2 linked regions of the Lepisosteus oculatus genome follow. The protein of the gene in region 1 interacts with the protein of each later gene in a biochemical or structural test. Links are inferred from orthologs where the notes say so. Each region holds a gene or a part of one and is shown in the gene's direction. Other genes may lie near its edges.

What was found.
Region 2: the proteins of ptenb (region 1) and usp13 form a complex in vitro, tested with the Homo sapiens proteins (3 studies listed by BioGRID, with this or other methods). The link is inferred for Lepisosteus oculatus from reciprocal best matches to the Homo sapiens genes PTEN and USP13.

Annotation. Positions count from the first base shown.
Region 1 is NC_090699.1:21,663,313-21,671,106, reverse strand, and holds the start of ptenb (phosphatidylinositol 3,4,5-trisphosphate 3-phosphatase and dual-specificity protein phosphatase PTEN), read left to right. Parts: upstream 1-4,780; 5' UTR 4,781-5,624; coding exon 5,625-5,703; intron 5,704-7,794. UniProt on the Homo sapiens protein: Dual-specificity protein phosphatase, dephosphorylating tyrosine-, serine- and threonine-phosphorylated proteins.
Region 2 is NC_090708.1:1,728,359-1,736,229, forward strand, and holds the start of usp13 (ubiquitin carboxyl-terminal hydrolase 13), read left to right. Parts: upstream 1-4,853; 5' UTR 4,854-4,943; coding exon 4,944-5,054; intron 5,055-7,871. Other genes in the region: ndufb5 (NADH dehydrogenase [ubiquinone] 1 beta subcomplex subunit 5, mitochondrial), read left to right, coding at 1,001-1,107, 1,475-1,595. UniProt on the Homo sapiens protein: Deubiquitinase that mediates deubiquitination of target proteins such as BECN1, MITF, SKP2 and USP10 and is involved in various processes such as autophagy, endoplasmic reticulum-associated degradation (ERAD), cell cycle progression or DNA damage response.

The DNA of each region.
Region 1 (7,794 bases):
AGCTGTGGTCCTGCTATCACAGGGAAGGGCGGTGACGTCACCCGCTCTGGTACGCCGGCTCTTACACAGTGCCTGTCGGCCGTAAGCGTTACAATACTATAATTATTTACGTCACCTGTAGATCTGAAGTTCAAATACGAAACCCACCTCTCCTCAATTCACTTACATTTTGTAAAGAACATAAGAAACAGGTGACGTTTTAATCTCGACGATATTTAAATTTAGAATTGCACTAACTTCAAAAATGTGTTGCCCATGTTACGCCACTGACTGTCAGTACAGGCGTACAGTATATGCGTGGAGTGTGCCGAAATAAAGTCTGAGCTCTTCAAACTCTACTGGTCACAGGTTTTAAAAATCAGGAAAATCTATAATTAGAGCATAGCATTCATATACAGTAGATATATTCATACATATTATGCACATACAGTACATTAATATACAGACACCTATAGAAGGCTCCACAGCCAAAACGGTGTCTCTTTTCTTTTCAGCACGGAATAAACCTTTACTTGTTCCTTCATATACAGCATATGTGCATTCATACACATACAGTACATGATACAACAATATGATACAGTTATTTACGTTTTGTAAATATAAATATAAAATCTGTACTATTTTACTTTATACTATATAATATATAGCAATATAGTGTATATACTACATATAACAATTCAGTTTTGATCTATCAGATTATTTAATTTTATATTGTACACCACACATTCTTGAAGAAAGAAAATCAAAGTATGATTATCTGAACATTTGCATAAGTGAGTTAGATGTTGTACATATACAATATAATTTTTTATGATCATCTTTTTTTATGTTCCTGCTGTAGTGTTGACATATCTTTTCTGAACCTGCTAATCACATGGAAACCAGTCAATGTATTTAAGCAGAAAAGTCACATTATGGCATAATTGCTCACCAACAAAAAAATAACCTGTGTGTTCTGAGCTTGGGCAGCACTGCGACATGGTTGGTGAACTTTTTCTTCTTCACAGCTGTTGCGGTTCTGGGTTTGATTCCGCCTTCTGTGTGGAGTTTGCATGTTCTGCCTTCTGCAAGAGCAACTGTTCTCCTGCCATTTCCCCCAAAACATGCTGATAGTGGTTAACTCTAAGTCATTCTTGTGTGTGCCCTGCAGTGGGCTGGTCAGGGTATGGTCCTGCCTTGTGATCTCTGCTACCAGCTTCTGCTAAAGGTTGCCACAGCCCTTACCACGTACAAGTCCATGTATGATGAGGGAACTTCTCAATGGCATTTCCTTTAATTGTTTACTACACAGAAGAAAAGTCCAGACAATTTCATGCAAACTGTTAATATTTTAAGATAACTGACAAGTATTCATAAATAGAAATAGTTTTATATAATATGATGCATGTAAACCACTTTTAAAGCCAGGTGTTAAAGGTTTTACAAAGTTCAAATCAATAAAGTGACAATAAAGAGATTTCATGTCAGAGACATAATTCACTAAATGCAATGCCTTCTCAGTCCCCAAAGCAGCTGATAGGAATGATAGGAAGGCCTTATAGTATAAAAATATTTCCAATAAGCTTTCCTGAGGATCAGTTCATCTGAGCCATGGTGTTCCAGGTAATCCCATTTAAATACACTAATTGTACTTTGAGTATTAACTAGGCACTGAAATGATAATTACAGAGGAAAACAGCCACTGTATAATCTGTATTAGATTTTTTTACAAATAAAGTTGAAAGAAAAATGCAAATGCTAACATGAGTTTCCTTTTCTTTGCTAATCAGAGATTTAAAGAAATCCAATAAATTTAGTCAAAACAGTAAATCTTCCCATTTTGACCATGCCAATACCAAACCACGCAATTCCCTATTAGGGGTCGGTAATGATTAATGATAAAATTTCAACATTTGTTCCACTGGGACTCAACAACTACTGTATCTCTCAGTCTGGTTATTTTTCAAACTACTGATATGGCTTATATTCAGCTTTTCCTAAATAAGATGAAGAGCCAATCTAAAAATATAGTCTGAAAAGCTTTGCATCTAAATCTTAGATCATTCTGTTTCTCTTTTAGGGTTTGAATATAGTTTCTTCTAAGAGCTGAGAGAGCACAGAAAATACTTAACAGCAGCTGTTCACAAAATGCACTGAGATTGACCTGCATTTAATACAGATAAAAGTTCTGATGGTTTTGATCTTATTAGATAACATTAAAATAATTTTTGCTGCTTAATACAGAAGTGTCAAATATGACCTTCAATTAGAACTGTTCTTGTACCATGGCTAATAACCTTCAATTAAGTGGCCTATGGTGGCTATGAAAATAATAGAGAAGATCTTGACATGTCTAGACATGAACAGGTGAGCTGTAGTATTGCCTTAGTCAGTCATAGCTGTCTCAGATGATTTACCGAACATGCAAAAAAAGAAATGTTATAGTATCAACCTTACACATATATATGTTAAGATCCCTATGAATTGCGTCTATATGCAAAACATGTTTTGTGTCCTCTATGGAAAACATTTTGTCCTTCATGGTTTCTTGTGGATTTTTGACACGATTTTCATACCTTTGGATATCCCTCTGGCAAAGCCTGGAACACGCTGTTGAAGCCAATAACCTGACTTCATTCAAAAATGTCTGGCTGAGACCTCTGGATTGTCTACTATCAAATGGGCTTGATGGGTTGAATGACCTTGTCTTGTTTGGGTTTTTTTTAGGTTCATCAATGAGGTCTACATTCCCATAATGCATATTAGAGAATTATGAAGATGTACAAATCTCTTTCCACTTTATTTGGTGATTTGTCTGTACGCTTGATTTGCAAAACCTAAAACAAGTATTTGAAAAACAAGTTTCTCTGTGCTCCTTTCCATGTAATTAGGACTTCTGAATTTCCTCAGACGGGAAACTCAGAAAGAACATACCAGCTGAGCAAGTAAAACAATGTCCTTGATAATTCAGAAAGCTCTTCTATCAGCAGGGTTTTCCAACTTTTTTGCCTACCTGCATGGCTTTCACAAGGTCAGGGTGTTTCCTGTGTATTAGTGAATTGGTATTCCATTTATATACAGTATCATTTTTTTTTCAGATCTCAGCTACATTTGATAAAGGTCTTTTAGGTAGTACTGGAAATCAATTTAAATGCTGTGAGTTACATTCTTGAATGGCAGTTTTTGAGAATCATTGTTTTTTATTTTAAAGTTATAACGTCACATGGATTTGTGTTAGCCTACAAATACTCCCATCTCACTATGAGAGCAAAAATGAGTTATCAGCTTGTAAACAGTTTTTGTTCCAGAAAAGCCAAGGTGGGAATATGAAAAATGAATTTCTCACATCAAAAAAAATGATATAGCAATTTATTGCCATATAGTAGTGCAAGCACTTCCATAGGTTAAAAGAATTTAGCAACTGATAATGATCAGTCTCTAGATAAAAATATCAGTTTATTTACATTTATTTTAAACGTGCTTATACACAAGCAGTTTAAGTTTAAATAAATTGTAGAATGGTTGCATTTTGATTTGTTTTATAAATTCTCTCAGTTTGTTTGCAATAACTAATTCTCAACAAAAAAGGATTGTTTAAGTCCAACTGGTATAAAAGTGATAAATAAACATTACTGAACAATTGGATTAAACTTTTCTGACATTAATGTTTGCATGTTTAGTTGTTGTCTGCATGATTCCCATAATGTAACCCCTTATATTTGATATATTTGACATATAAAGTATTCCCATCCTAACACTAACCCCAAGCAACACAAACCTTAAACTTGCATTTATAAGTTATTGTAACCAAGGAACATGGAGTAATGGTGTTTTCACTTCAAATAATAAATACTGTAGGCGAATGCAGATCTAAAACATTTACTGGTTTATTTATGTTTTCTTTCTCTAGCTATAAAAAATAACAATACAATGCCAAAAGAAACAATTGAAAACAAATCTAAAAATTAAGCCAAAGTCTCTTCAACCACAGTAAGGACCTTAACATATTTTATTTGTGCTCTTAACAGGTGCTGGGACTAGCGTTTTAGACATGTTTAGCTAACAACGTCAAGAGATAACGTTCCCACATCGCTTTAAAGTCTTTAACACGTCAAACCAGTGAGATTCTTGACCCCGTCAAACTCCAGGACAGGAAAAAGCAGCCGGTCTTGTTTCAACGTGTCATTCCCGTATAACCTGAAAGGTGGCGCCATGGCATAAGTCTTTACCCCTATGTCGTTCACTAGAACGTTCTACAAAAAATAAAACCCAAATAACGAGTATGTGCTTTTAAAGCACATCTCTTGGACCTCGGACTGTAGATGTATAGGTTCATGTCTCTATTTTATTTTTTGGACTTATATATATTATATGCTGGAAGACAGTGCCACAGATGACTGTGTGTGCTACTAAGTGACACGCCTGGCTTGGACTGGTTTACTTGATCTGATTTTACTTTTCTTGCTTGCGTAAGCACTTTACAAGTTGTACTGGGTGTCACTGCTAGCTAAGTTATCTGTGATTTTTTTTTCATTGATGCCATTTATTTTCGTTATTATGTAATGTTTTTGTTCCTCGCTCACACAGAACACTTCGCAGACGCTTGTAATAATTATCTCTGATAGACTTCAGAAACAATTGGACGTTTTTACGTATGTCAGCAAATCCCTGGCCTCCTAATTGTAAAAAAAGAACCTCAATTATTAGCGCGAAGCAAAGAAATAAAATATTGGAAACTTCCCCAATTACCAGCACACGTGACCTGCCCTTGGCAGAGAGGAGAGTTTCCCTGCGGTGTGCCTGTGTGTCCTTCCGCCCTCACTGTAGCCGCTAGTAGTATGTCAACGAGGCGCACTACGTCGGGTTTAAATGCGAAATATTTATTTTCGGGACACATTTTTCCGTTGCCGGTTTCTCTGTTGCGTGATCGGGACACCTGCGATTAAAGCGGTGGTAAAATCACAGCCACAGCAGGACTATTTGTGCACGGCGGCAGGATATATGGTGTAACCCAGTTTGTCTTTTTCTCTCGGAAGCCATGATGGAACTTTAGAGTTTTTTTTGCTGGAGAGGACGGAAAAAAAGGAAGGAAGATCGTCTCTATATATATTAAAATATTTTAAGCCCCTTTTATTATATATATTTTTTAAATTTTAAGGTGGAGGCTGTCAGTTTTTTTTCCCTGGTGTTTTGGACGAGGACGAGGATATTGTGTGCTTGGAGGGTTTCTGGGGGGGGGGGGGGATTTTAATATATATATTTTGTGTGTGTCTTGTCACAATTTTTCGGGGTTATTTTTTCGGGATCGCTGGAGAGGCTTTCTCTCCGCTTTTCTTCGCCTCAATCACGGCGGCGGCGGCGGATCTAGAGACTTGGGCCGTATTTGAAAGCTCACGGTTCGGGAACTGGGGGATCGCGGGAGAGATTGCGGGATCGGGGAAGCCGGGCCCGCGGAGGAGCGGCGAGAGGAGGCCCTGCCAGCAGCCATTCTAGTCCAGCCCGCAGCCGCAGGCAGCCGCCACACTCGGGCAACTGCGAGACCCGGGGAGCGAGCGGGGGAGACCGGGGGACGGCCCTTTCCACAGCCCGGGGAGGCAACGATACCCTCTCTTAACATACAAGCCCTAAAGACTCCTTTCACGGCGATGGCTGCGATCATCAAAGAAATCGTCAGCAGAAACAAAAGGAGATACCAGGAAGATGGATTCGACTTGGACTTGACCTGTATCCATTTTATACATATTTTAAGTATGCATATACATGCATGCGTGTCGGCATTTTAAACATTATTCTTAGGTATAGGGGGCTGAGATCCGATTCATGTTGAGTGGAATATAATGTTTTTGAGTCGAGGTCTTTTTTTAAATAGAGGTAAGTGGGATGTGGACGAGATCTGGATAGTTGCAGCTCTTATGGCCGGAGAGCTTTCACATTTCGCTGTAAGTGGACATTAAAACGGTTCCTGATCGCACTGGAGCATTGTGCGGGTAAAACGCCGTTTTCTTTCAGAAAAAGCGGCGCGGATGTGCGTTTTAGTGCGGTGGAGAAGCGATAAATGAAACGGAAAAGGAGCCCATTCTCTTTCGCAGTGTGACGAGGTCTTGGCCTAGATAAGGGAATGGATTAGATTAAATTCAAAATCACTGCTACACAAAGAGACATTGCATCAGCAACCTGCAGAAAACCAGTAGGTACGTGTCTCTGTATTGTGTGGCCAAATTAAATGCTTAAAGGTCTGGAAATATGCTGTCATTTAGCCAGAATCGAGGTTGATAAACGTGTGGTGGGGGTGGGGGTAGGTTTGGCTAATTTAGCCAGCGAGAAGAAATGTGTTGTAAAATATGCGTAGATGTCGTCTTTAGTAAGTCTTAGAATTGCAAATAGCGGGTTTATAATCGGTGTGGGTTTAAAAAGATGGATGTGTTGCCTACGGTCAGTAAAACACGGAAAGGATCAATTTAAAATAATCGGCGGTGGATTTATATATCGACAGGGACCCTTTCCAGTCTGTCGTCGTGTTTTCCAAAAGGTGGCTAAACATTCATGTCGTGTCGTTTGGGAATGTCATTTCACAGCTTGGCATCGGCGGTCTGTGAGTATCTGTGGGTCCAGCAGGTAAACCGTGCGGCTCCCATCCCCAGGCCTGCTGCCTTGGGTACCTCCTCGACAGAAACGCGGTTGACTTGACACTTCCACTAGCAGGGCGAAAACATCTATCGATTATCAGCGAGGTCCTCCGGGCACATCATCACCGGCGATGGCAGAGGCGTTTGATCTTGTTTAAATTCTCTTGTCTGTGGAACGAGAAATGATCTTTGCGTTTTCTCAGTAGTTAATGTGCATCGCTCCTTTAGGTAGATCTGGATTACGATGAGTGCATTTTCAGGTAATTATAGGTGAAGTGCTGCAGTACTGCTATAAAGTGCTCCACTTTGTTAACGGTAAAACTGATTTTGCGGATAGTTGAATTAGAGGCTGGATAGCACCACGGACCTATATGTAATTGGATACCTAAAGCTGCTTTTCCTTCAGGTTAGTGGTACTTTCCAGGCCAAACAGTAGGCCAAGACTGTGCTTCAATCACATATGTACAGTAGTCTCGCAAAAGGCAAGGCATTACCACTCTTCCTACAAGAAGTTTACCACAGACTGTTATAGAGACATGAAGTGCTTTTTTCTTTTTAGATTGAGTTGCAAACACATTTCTTGGTTTCCAGTGTAGTGAGGAGAGACAGAGATGGGATCAGTCCGAATCCCCATAAGCAGAGAAAATCACAGGCCTTGCTTTCCACTAAGACAGCAGGGGCACTGAGCAGAGACCTGCTTGTCTCGCCAGCTGGATACTGAATCCTGGCTCCTGGCTGTACTATTGGGGCATGCCTTGACATAATCAAAATACTATGTACATAATTCGACACTTGTCTGCTCCTCAGTTTAGTTATGACAGTCTTTGTTGGAATTAGACATTGTCGACAGGAACGGTTTTCAATCAATGTGAAATTTCTTCCAGTTGTTGAAAGACATGGTTGGAGCTTAGCATTTTGTTTTTCTCAGATTTGTTCTTCTATGAAATTGGTTTTCACCATGCACATGAGTATAAAGAAAGAACACACAGGCCTTGTAATGAGTTCTAGAAATAGGTTTTGTGCTGTAGGCAGATGCATAAATTTCCACTGTATTTTGGTTTAAATGAATTACTAATTCCCACAGTCTCCAAAAAAGCTATTAACTGCTGAACAGCTGTAAAAATGTTGATGGTATTACAAGGCGTCTTTCAGACCTTTAGGAACCTTTTGTGGGCCTCAAACTAAAATA
Region 2 (7,871 bases), on another chromosome or scaffold:
TGTGCCAATAGGTGGCACTCTCCCATCTAGACCAGATTTCCAAACTCTCTGAAGTGATATCATGTCAAAAACGGGTCATTGTTCTGTAGGAAGTACCCCTTCAGTCTGAACCCGGGTCTCTGCAGTCCGAAATCCAGTCTGGAATTGGGGACCCCTGAGCTTGAAGGAAAATCGGAGGTTTTGTCAGGACCATGTTGGATATTGTGCAGTAGCAGGGATATTAATCCCCAGTTTGGAGACCAAATATAAAAGGGTTACAAAATCTGTAATACCTGAAGTCCACATCTGTACCTTAATTAAGGTTGATGTCTGTATCCAGCCTCCCCTAGAGACCCATACTAACCAGGTCTTGCTCCGTGGTGAAAGAGGAGTTTAATTGTCACGGAGGATGTGATCGTGAGTTTCACTTTGCCCTGGACACGCCCATGAGGCAGCGCGGGTTGGCTCGGTGTGGTAAACAGTTCCACATGGGGGGTGTGTTGAAGGAATGAGTCTGCTAGTGATAATCTGCTTCGAGCCCCCAGAGTGGCTCATGCTGTGAAGGTGCTCACCTGTCTGCAGGCTGGGCCCCACGATCACGGGTTCGAGCCGGGGGTCACACCACCAGCCCAGCATGACTGGGATTCGCAGAGGGTGGGGTGGGACTGAGTCTGTGGGCACCACAGCGCCTCCTGTGGCCTCCTGGGGCGCTTGCAGGCCTGCGGTGCGGTCAGCGAGGGGACGTGCCTCCTCCAGTCGGCACTGGCCCTGCAGGGCGGGGCGGTGCTGCCTGTGACGTGTTCAAACACGAGGGGCTCAAACGGCCGGGGGGGGGATCCCCCTGCTCTTCCTCACGCTCCCCCGTGTGCAGTCACAGGGCAGCTGGCGATTCTAAACTAGGCGGGCAAAACCAAATTAATCTCTGAAGAGGAAAGCTGACAGTCAGCTTGTAGATGGACCCGTGCAGAACCAAGAGGTTCCTCTGTCCAACGTCCCGGGTCTGTCCGTCTCTCTCCTTCAGCACCCCATCACCCGGTGGATCGTCCGGAACTTCTACGACCCGCCAGAGAAGGACTACGAGAAGATGATGGCTTTGATCCAGATTGAGGCGGAAAAGGCCGAGCTGAGGTCAGTGGCGGCGTGGAGACTGGGGAGCCCCTCCGCTCTCTGAAGCGGCTCCGTGGAGCTTGTCCCCCCTGCTCAGCTCGGCGAGGGGTCTGACTGAGCGGGCTCTCCCTTCTTTGATACTTCAATACTGCCCGTGACATCGAGAAGTAAAATCCCTGTAGCAGTTATTGTTTCATGCCCTTAGCAGACCCCTTGTCATCGTCCTTGTGTTTTGGGGGAGTCCTGGCTGACGTTGGTGTCTGTGTGTGATTGCGCGTGCCTGAGGGGGGCCCCTCGGCCCATCGTTGTTCCGGCTGTCCCGGCGGGGGGCGGGGGGCGGGGGGACCCACTCTCCAAGAGTAACGCGTTGCCTTTGCTTGCGCCACAGGCTGAAGCAGCAGGAGGTGCGCAGGCACATGCGCCAGAAGGGCGACGGGCCCTGGTTCCAGGTGGAGACCATGGACAAGCAGCTGATTGACTACTCCCACAAGGCCACGCCCGACAACTGAGGCAGCGCCGGCCTTCCGCGAGCCGCAGAGACCGCCGCCTGCTCGCCCGCTCGGCGGGGGCATGCCAGTAATTTATCCCCTGTATATGTTTGTATAATAATGCTCTGGCTTTAAATAAAGCCTTTTCAATGTTTCAGCTTTGTTTAAGAGTGCTGTTTAAAACTGTGATCCCCTGTGGTCCCTGTCCTGCTGACCCGGTTCTGCTCCATCCAAACCCTCAGGTCTACAGTCAAGTCTTCATTCACTTAATATGGGGCGGAGCGGTGGCTCTGTGGCTAGGGATCTGCCTGTGGCTGGAAGGTTGCTGGTTTGTTACCTTAATCCATTGAGCGCCTGAGCAAGGGCCTTAACTCCAACTGCTCCAGGGGCGCTGTATAAACGGCTGACCCTACCCTCTGACCCCCAGCTTCTCTCCCTGTCTGTGTGTCTCATGGAGAGCAAGCTGGGGTCTGCGAAAAGACAAATTCCTAACACAAGAAATTGTATACGGCCAATAAAGTGATCTTATCTTAATAGTTAATTTGAACTGTGTCCAACTCTTACACACATTCAAGCTTTAACCAACATTGCCTTTTTCGAGAGATTTACATTCTCAAGCTTGTGACTACTAACAACACGCCAATGTTGAACTGGAGCAGCTCCTTGTTGATCCAGTAAGGCCTCAGTTATCTGCTGGAGGTGGGAGGGACTGAAACCCAGCAGGTGTGGGGCTCACCAGGACCAGCACTGGGATCTACTAGATTAAAGAGAGAAAACTATTCATTTTAAAAAGATTTAGAACGTTTCCTTTCATTTTTGAGCTGGTCATTTTTTTTTCTCCCAGGAAGTGATGGCAGTTTTGTCTTTGTGTTCTTAAGGAGATGGCCACCTGCTCTGCCCACATGTCTTTTGTCAATTAGATGTGATGCTCAGGGTCTATTACAGGGGTGCCCAACCTTTTTTTTTTAATGAAAGATTTACTTTTTCATGTGCCAGTCCCGCGCGAACTACCAGTGTGAATTTGAAGCTCTGATATAGGAAAAACAGACTGTGGACACATCAGTACAATAACTATACCCATCACTAAAATGACAGCAATTAAAAGCAAGTGACTCAGGCTACAGTGAACAAGTCATGTTCCCCATTTTAGAAAAAAAATATCCTACCTTCATGTCAGCATTGACACTGAGAAGCTTACTTGAGGACACTTGTAATCGTTTTTTTGAGCGTGTTGACACTGCTGATCGTGTCGAAGACACTTTTATTGTGTCCCTGCAGCTCGACATTCAGCTCATTCGGCAGTTCAGTCAAGTCTGGGAGGACTGCTAAGCCCAGAAGCCACTGGTCGCCCTCTCATTGGGCACATTCACCGTGTTTAGACTATTTGAGAAACTCTCATTTCAGGCAATAGCTGTCTGTCTGTGAAATCTCCAAACAGCAAGTCAGCAGCAGCGATGATTGCTGGTTTCCCTCCAGTGTTAGGCCACGTTAAAACCAACTGCCGCTAGTTGAGATTTTAATTTTTCAACTTTTTTCCGTAACTCACTTTTAGTGGGGAAAGCACACATCTTACATTTTGTGTGCAGTTTTGAAATGTGGTTCTCTTGTTTCCCTTTTTCGCGTAGACGCTAGCTTTGCAGATTTGAATGCGAAAGTACAAAAAAATAATCGCGCCCCCATTCCTCGTGGTGAGGGTAAGTCTTCGGGCTCTTTGCTTCATCGTATTCGCTCAAACACTACAACTATCATAAAAAGGGCAATCTAACTCCTCAAACTGTTGGCGAATTTGTCACGGCCATTTGTCTGGTTCGCTCCACCATGTGCTGTGGCGAATGTGGGGTTCGTGCAGCAATAGCCAAGGGAGGGGTCTCGGGGAGCCCACCCAACACTACAGAGCACCTGTAGCCTTTTCTTCAGTGTGGGCCAGCACTCAGGGAAGAGACTCTTACAACCCATTCCACAAGGGTTAAGCACAAGCAAGGGCAGTAAAATGTATGACATTACATGCACAGATCTGAATGAATTTTTAGGCTATCTAAAAAAGTAGTCAAATAGCCCATTTATTTGATACCACACATTCTTGCGATCGACTGGTTGGGCACCCCCTGGTCAATTACCCAAGAAATGCAAAACAGGCACTTAGAACTGATCTTTACTTTATCCGAGGAGAGCGACACTCTGGAAAGCTCGATAATCCAAAAAGATCATCATTAACACACAACTGAGTGAGAGAAGCCCTAAACCAGACTCGTGGTTGTGGCGCTGAAGCTGTGAGATGCTGCTGTCTGGTTGGTCACTGGCTTTCTTTGTCTGGTGTCCAAGACATTTCTGGGAAAGCAGTCTGCTCCTCTGTGTGATCAGCAGGAAACAGGTGAATATCGGGTCGGATGTGAAATTTTCATGCAGCTCGTAACAAGCCCTGTCCCCACGCCCACCTTGGACTCGACGTCTGATCCACCCGAGGTTCAGCAGAATCGATTTACACTTTCATATATGTTCGGTGCTTTAAAAGACGTGTTGACTTCAGGTCAGCCGGGTCCGAGGAAGCGGAGTCGATTCGGGGCGTGTTCGTCCAGTCCATCTGAAGGTCTGCTCTCTTTGGGGGGGCGTAATTCGCACAAAGGACAATCGGGTATTTAAGATAAAAAAAAGGTCGAACGCTGTTTTACAAAACACCTTATACGGGCAGGTCATCTTACCCCCCACCTCACGTGAGCTAATCGCTAATCAATGACCAGTGACCGCGATGAAGGAGTTAAAAAAATTGTAACATATCCTCCGTTAGAACCTCTTGCCTCTTTATAACCTTCTTACCTGCTTTATTCGTCGGGTTTCAGCACCGTCCGGCGCTGCTATATTGTATATTGTCGCATAACCCCGCCATGCGGAATTTGCAACCTCATCTGAGCGGTGACCAATTTCGTTTTGAAGCTTTAAAGGACCGTTTCCACGCCGCGGGCGGGCGGGCTTCGTCGGTTTTGTCACGCACCGTCGCCAAATTGATTACAAACGCCGAAACCTCGAGTCTCCTTTCAAACGACGCGCCTCCGCCGGGGAAGGTGGGAGACGCGGAATTGGGTAAATTGACAGTCGGCAGCGCCAAATTCACGGCGAAACAGAAATCGATGTAAACCCAATAGGGGGGTTAAGAAATACCGCCCGAGCACCTAATATATATATATACGTTCAATTTTAATCTCGCTCTCCTCCTCCCCCCTCGCTTCACAGCGTCACTCTCCCGGATCCTGCAGGAATGTCGGGTCTGTGTTCATTTAAAAATAGCATCATGTGCTAGCTGCTCTCCCAGACTTCCAGCTCCGTCTCCCTCGCTCGCGGTAGCATTCTGGGGCTGGAGGCAGGAATGCGAAGATGGCTGCAGACTTGGGAGAGCTGCTGGTCCCGTACATGCCCACCATCCGAGTCCCCAGGACCGGGGACCGGGTTTTCAAGAGCGAGTGCGCCTTCTCCTACGACTCCCCAGTAAGTGCTCGGCGGTGCCGCGCAGGCGGCCGTGCGGCCCCGCTGGACACACGTGAACCGCGCTGCGCACGGAGGGGGACCGGGGGTCCGTGTCCGTGTCCGTGTCCACCATTCTCTCGACCAGCTCGCAGCGCCGGCTGAAATAACTCACCCCGTCCTGCCCTCCCGGTCTCCCTGCCTTGAGCACTGCTAAGACGGCGGTTGTGCGATTCTCGGTTATCCCACCCCCCTAACAGTCTTTGGTTTTCGAGTGCGGGCACAGCTTTGAGTCCAAACTTCCTCCGCGGAGAGAGAGAGAGAGGGTTTTTCAGCACTGCCGCCGGAATGCGGTAGGGATCTGTAACTTCACGCATGCAGACTATAATGCGTTTTTTTTATTTTTGAGAGAGGCGCAGACAGCTTCCCCGAGTCGGTTTTGTTTTTGCTTTGTGATTTGTGATTTGACAGCGCCCTGCTCGTAAAGATTGAACGCTTTTCGAAAACGGGTCATCCGCAGCGCTTCTTCTGGGCTCAAATTTTCCTGGAGTGAGGGAGCCCCAAAGACGTGCCCGTTTCGTGTCTGGGCTGGCGAAACCCGCGTTCGCCTGCTCTTAGACGCGAAACAAGGCATGTGTTCTAGTTCTTCAGTATACAGCGGTGTAATGTCACCTTTTGTTGCAAAATGTCACGCTGAACATGAACGCTGAAAGGGACAGCATTTCCAGAGGAGCAAGGGAGGAGCAAGATTTAACCTTCAGGAACCACGTGTTGGGGAATATTAACCAAAACCAACACTTTATATAAGTCAGTTCAGTTTCTTGTGTTTTTAAGGACGTTGCCCTAACTTTCTATGTATTATTTTATAAGCTGGGGCAGATTTAAAGGTGACTCAGCTGTCAGGTACTCCTCATGTCGGCTGGAAAGCCTGGGCTATTTTTAATCTCTTTTTCAAATGGCTCATGTGTCGCCCACCCAACTCCATTAACCCTGGGGTCTCGTCCAGCTCGTCCAGCCTATCGCCACGAGGGACAGAAAGGAGAAAAAAAAACGATTGCGATGTTGTTTCCTTTACAAAAGAAACTTTAAAAAAAACTCGCAAGTCTTTTCTACCACAGGAGACTAGGACACATTAGAATAAATTAAGATGATTTCGGATGTATGGTGTAGTTAATTCGATAACTTCTCCTGTCCGGCCTTGTCTTGGTTACCAGGAGGGATTTATACTGAAACGCACATTACTGTGGGCTGTAAATCCTGTGGTAATCTGCTGAGGGCTTCACACCTGAGTTGCTGTTTTTTTAAATGTATGTTGTGGTTTCTATTGTAGGATTGAGCAGGTGCTCCTGGTTCTTTTTAAATGACAGGTGTTTCTTGGGTTTCGCTGAGATAAAAACATTCACAGTGGGCTGGAACAGATGTCTTGTAGCCACAACGTGTCCATGCGCTCATCCAGCCCTCTGGAAAAGAGTTGGTCAGGCACACTTTTCTGTTTTATAACAGGAGGACTGTTTTATTTCTAGAATGATTTAGGCACTTAAATCTCTGATACATATTCCTCTGCAGAATGAGGCACATTTACTGTCTAACTCAGCAAAGTTTCTTTGCATGTCAGCTGACTCTGAGCTAAGTGTTATGAGTTTTCATTCATCGTCCATCTGAAAATTTATCGATGAAGTCAACCCAGCAGACATCTTGAAAAGCGACCAGTGAAACCTGAATGGGTGCACCTGAGTGGAACTGTGAGTTTCCCCACTCTGATATTGAAGTTGGAAATGGCTGTAGCTCTGCTACATGGAAAATGGCTGAATTGATTGAATTAAGGTTTGACAACACCGACGTCTCCGCTTCTCAGTGGCCTTAAGCTGCTGATGAAGAGACAGAGGCGAGACAGGTTCCAGATTCCAGGAGGTTAAGTGCCAAACTAAACAGTTGGTCTTTCTTATAAATCTGTGTTGACTGTTTATTACAATCTGATTTCTAGACAGGTGATCCTCTCCTTTCGTTCTGAAACCATTTCCGTAACGTTTCATGTGCCGGGTGCTGGGTGTGGTGGTCAGTAATTTCCCCGAGTCAGTGTTTGTCACCCTCTGAGGGATGTGTGCTACGCTGCAGTACAGACCTTTGTCCTTCCGCTGCCGGAGGCCTGTTGTTGACGTCTTCTTCAGTGAATACTTGAATGAAATGCTCATTTAGTACATCAAGTTTCAAGTTCAAGTTTCAAGTTTATTGTCATTACACTCATATACATGGTATATGGTATAACGAAATGCTATTTAGCTAGCTCTCGGACATAAGTAGTACAAAGAGAAAAACAACAACAACAACAATACAATTGTGTAGCAAAAGAAAGACAGAGACAACAGGCAGTGTGCAAAAAACAATAACAGGCAATGTGCAAAACAACAACAAGGTAACAGGTTATGTGCAAAAATCTGCATCAACAGAATAAAATAAAGGGATAGAAATTAAATTACATCAGCCCCTGTCTAGAAGTTTCCTATTATTGTCTCGGGTATATTTTACTTCATCCTTGACATTTCTTTACCTGCTGTAACACTGAAGGAGCTCTTTATTCACCTTTTACTTTTTAGCTTCCATTAGAATATTCTTTTCAATTCTCTCTTGGCCTTTCTAATATCCTTTTACCCATGTGTTTGCAATTGATTGTGCTGCCTTACCTTAGCTAGATCCTGTTGTTTTTTTAATTGTTTCTCAGAGCACATTCTTTTCCTTTATTTTTCTAAGCCATTTGTTGAATCTTTCGGGATGGGATGTCATTTTTTGGCTCTTTCTCCAGTTCCGGGAGAGATTGAGTTCTGTGCTTGAAGCAGAATCTCT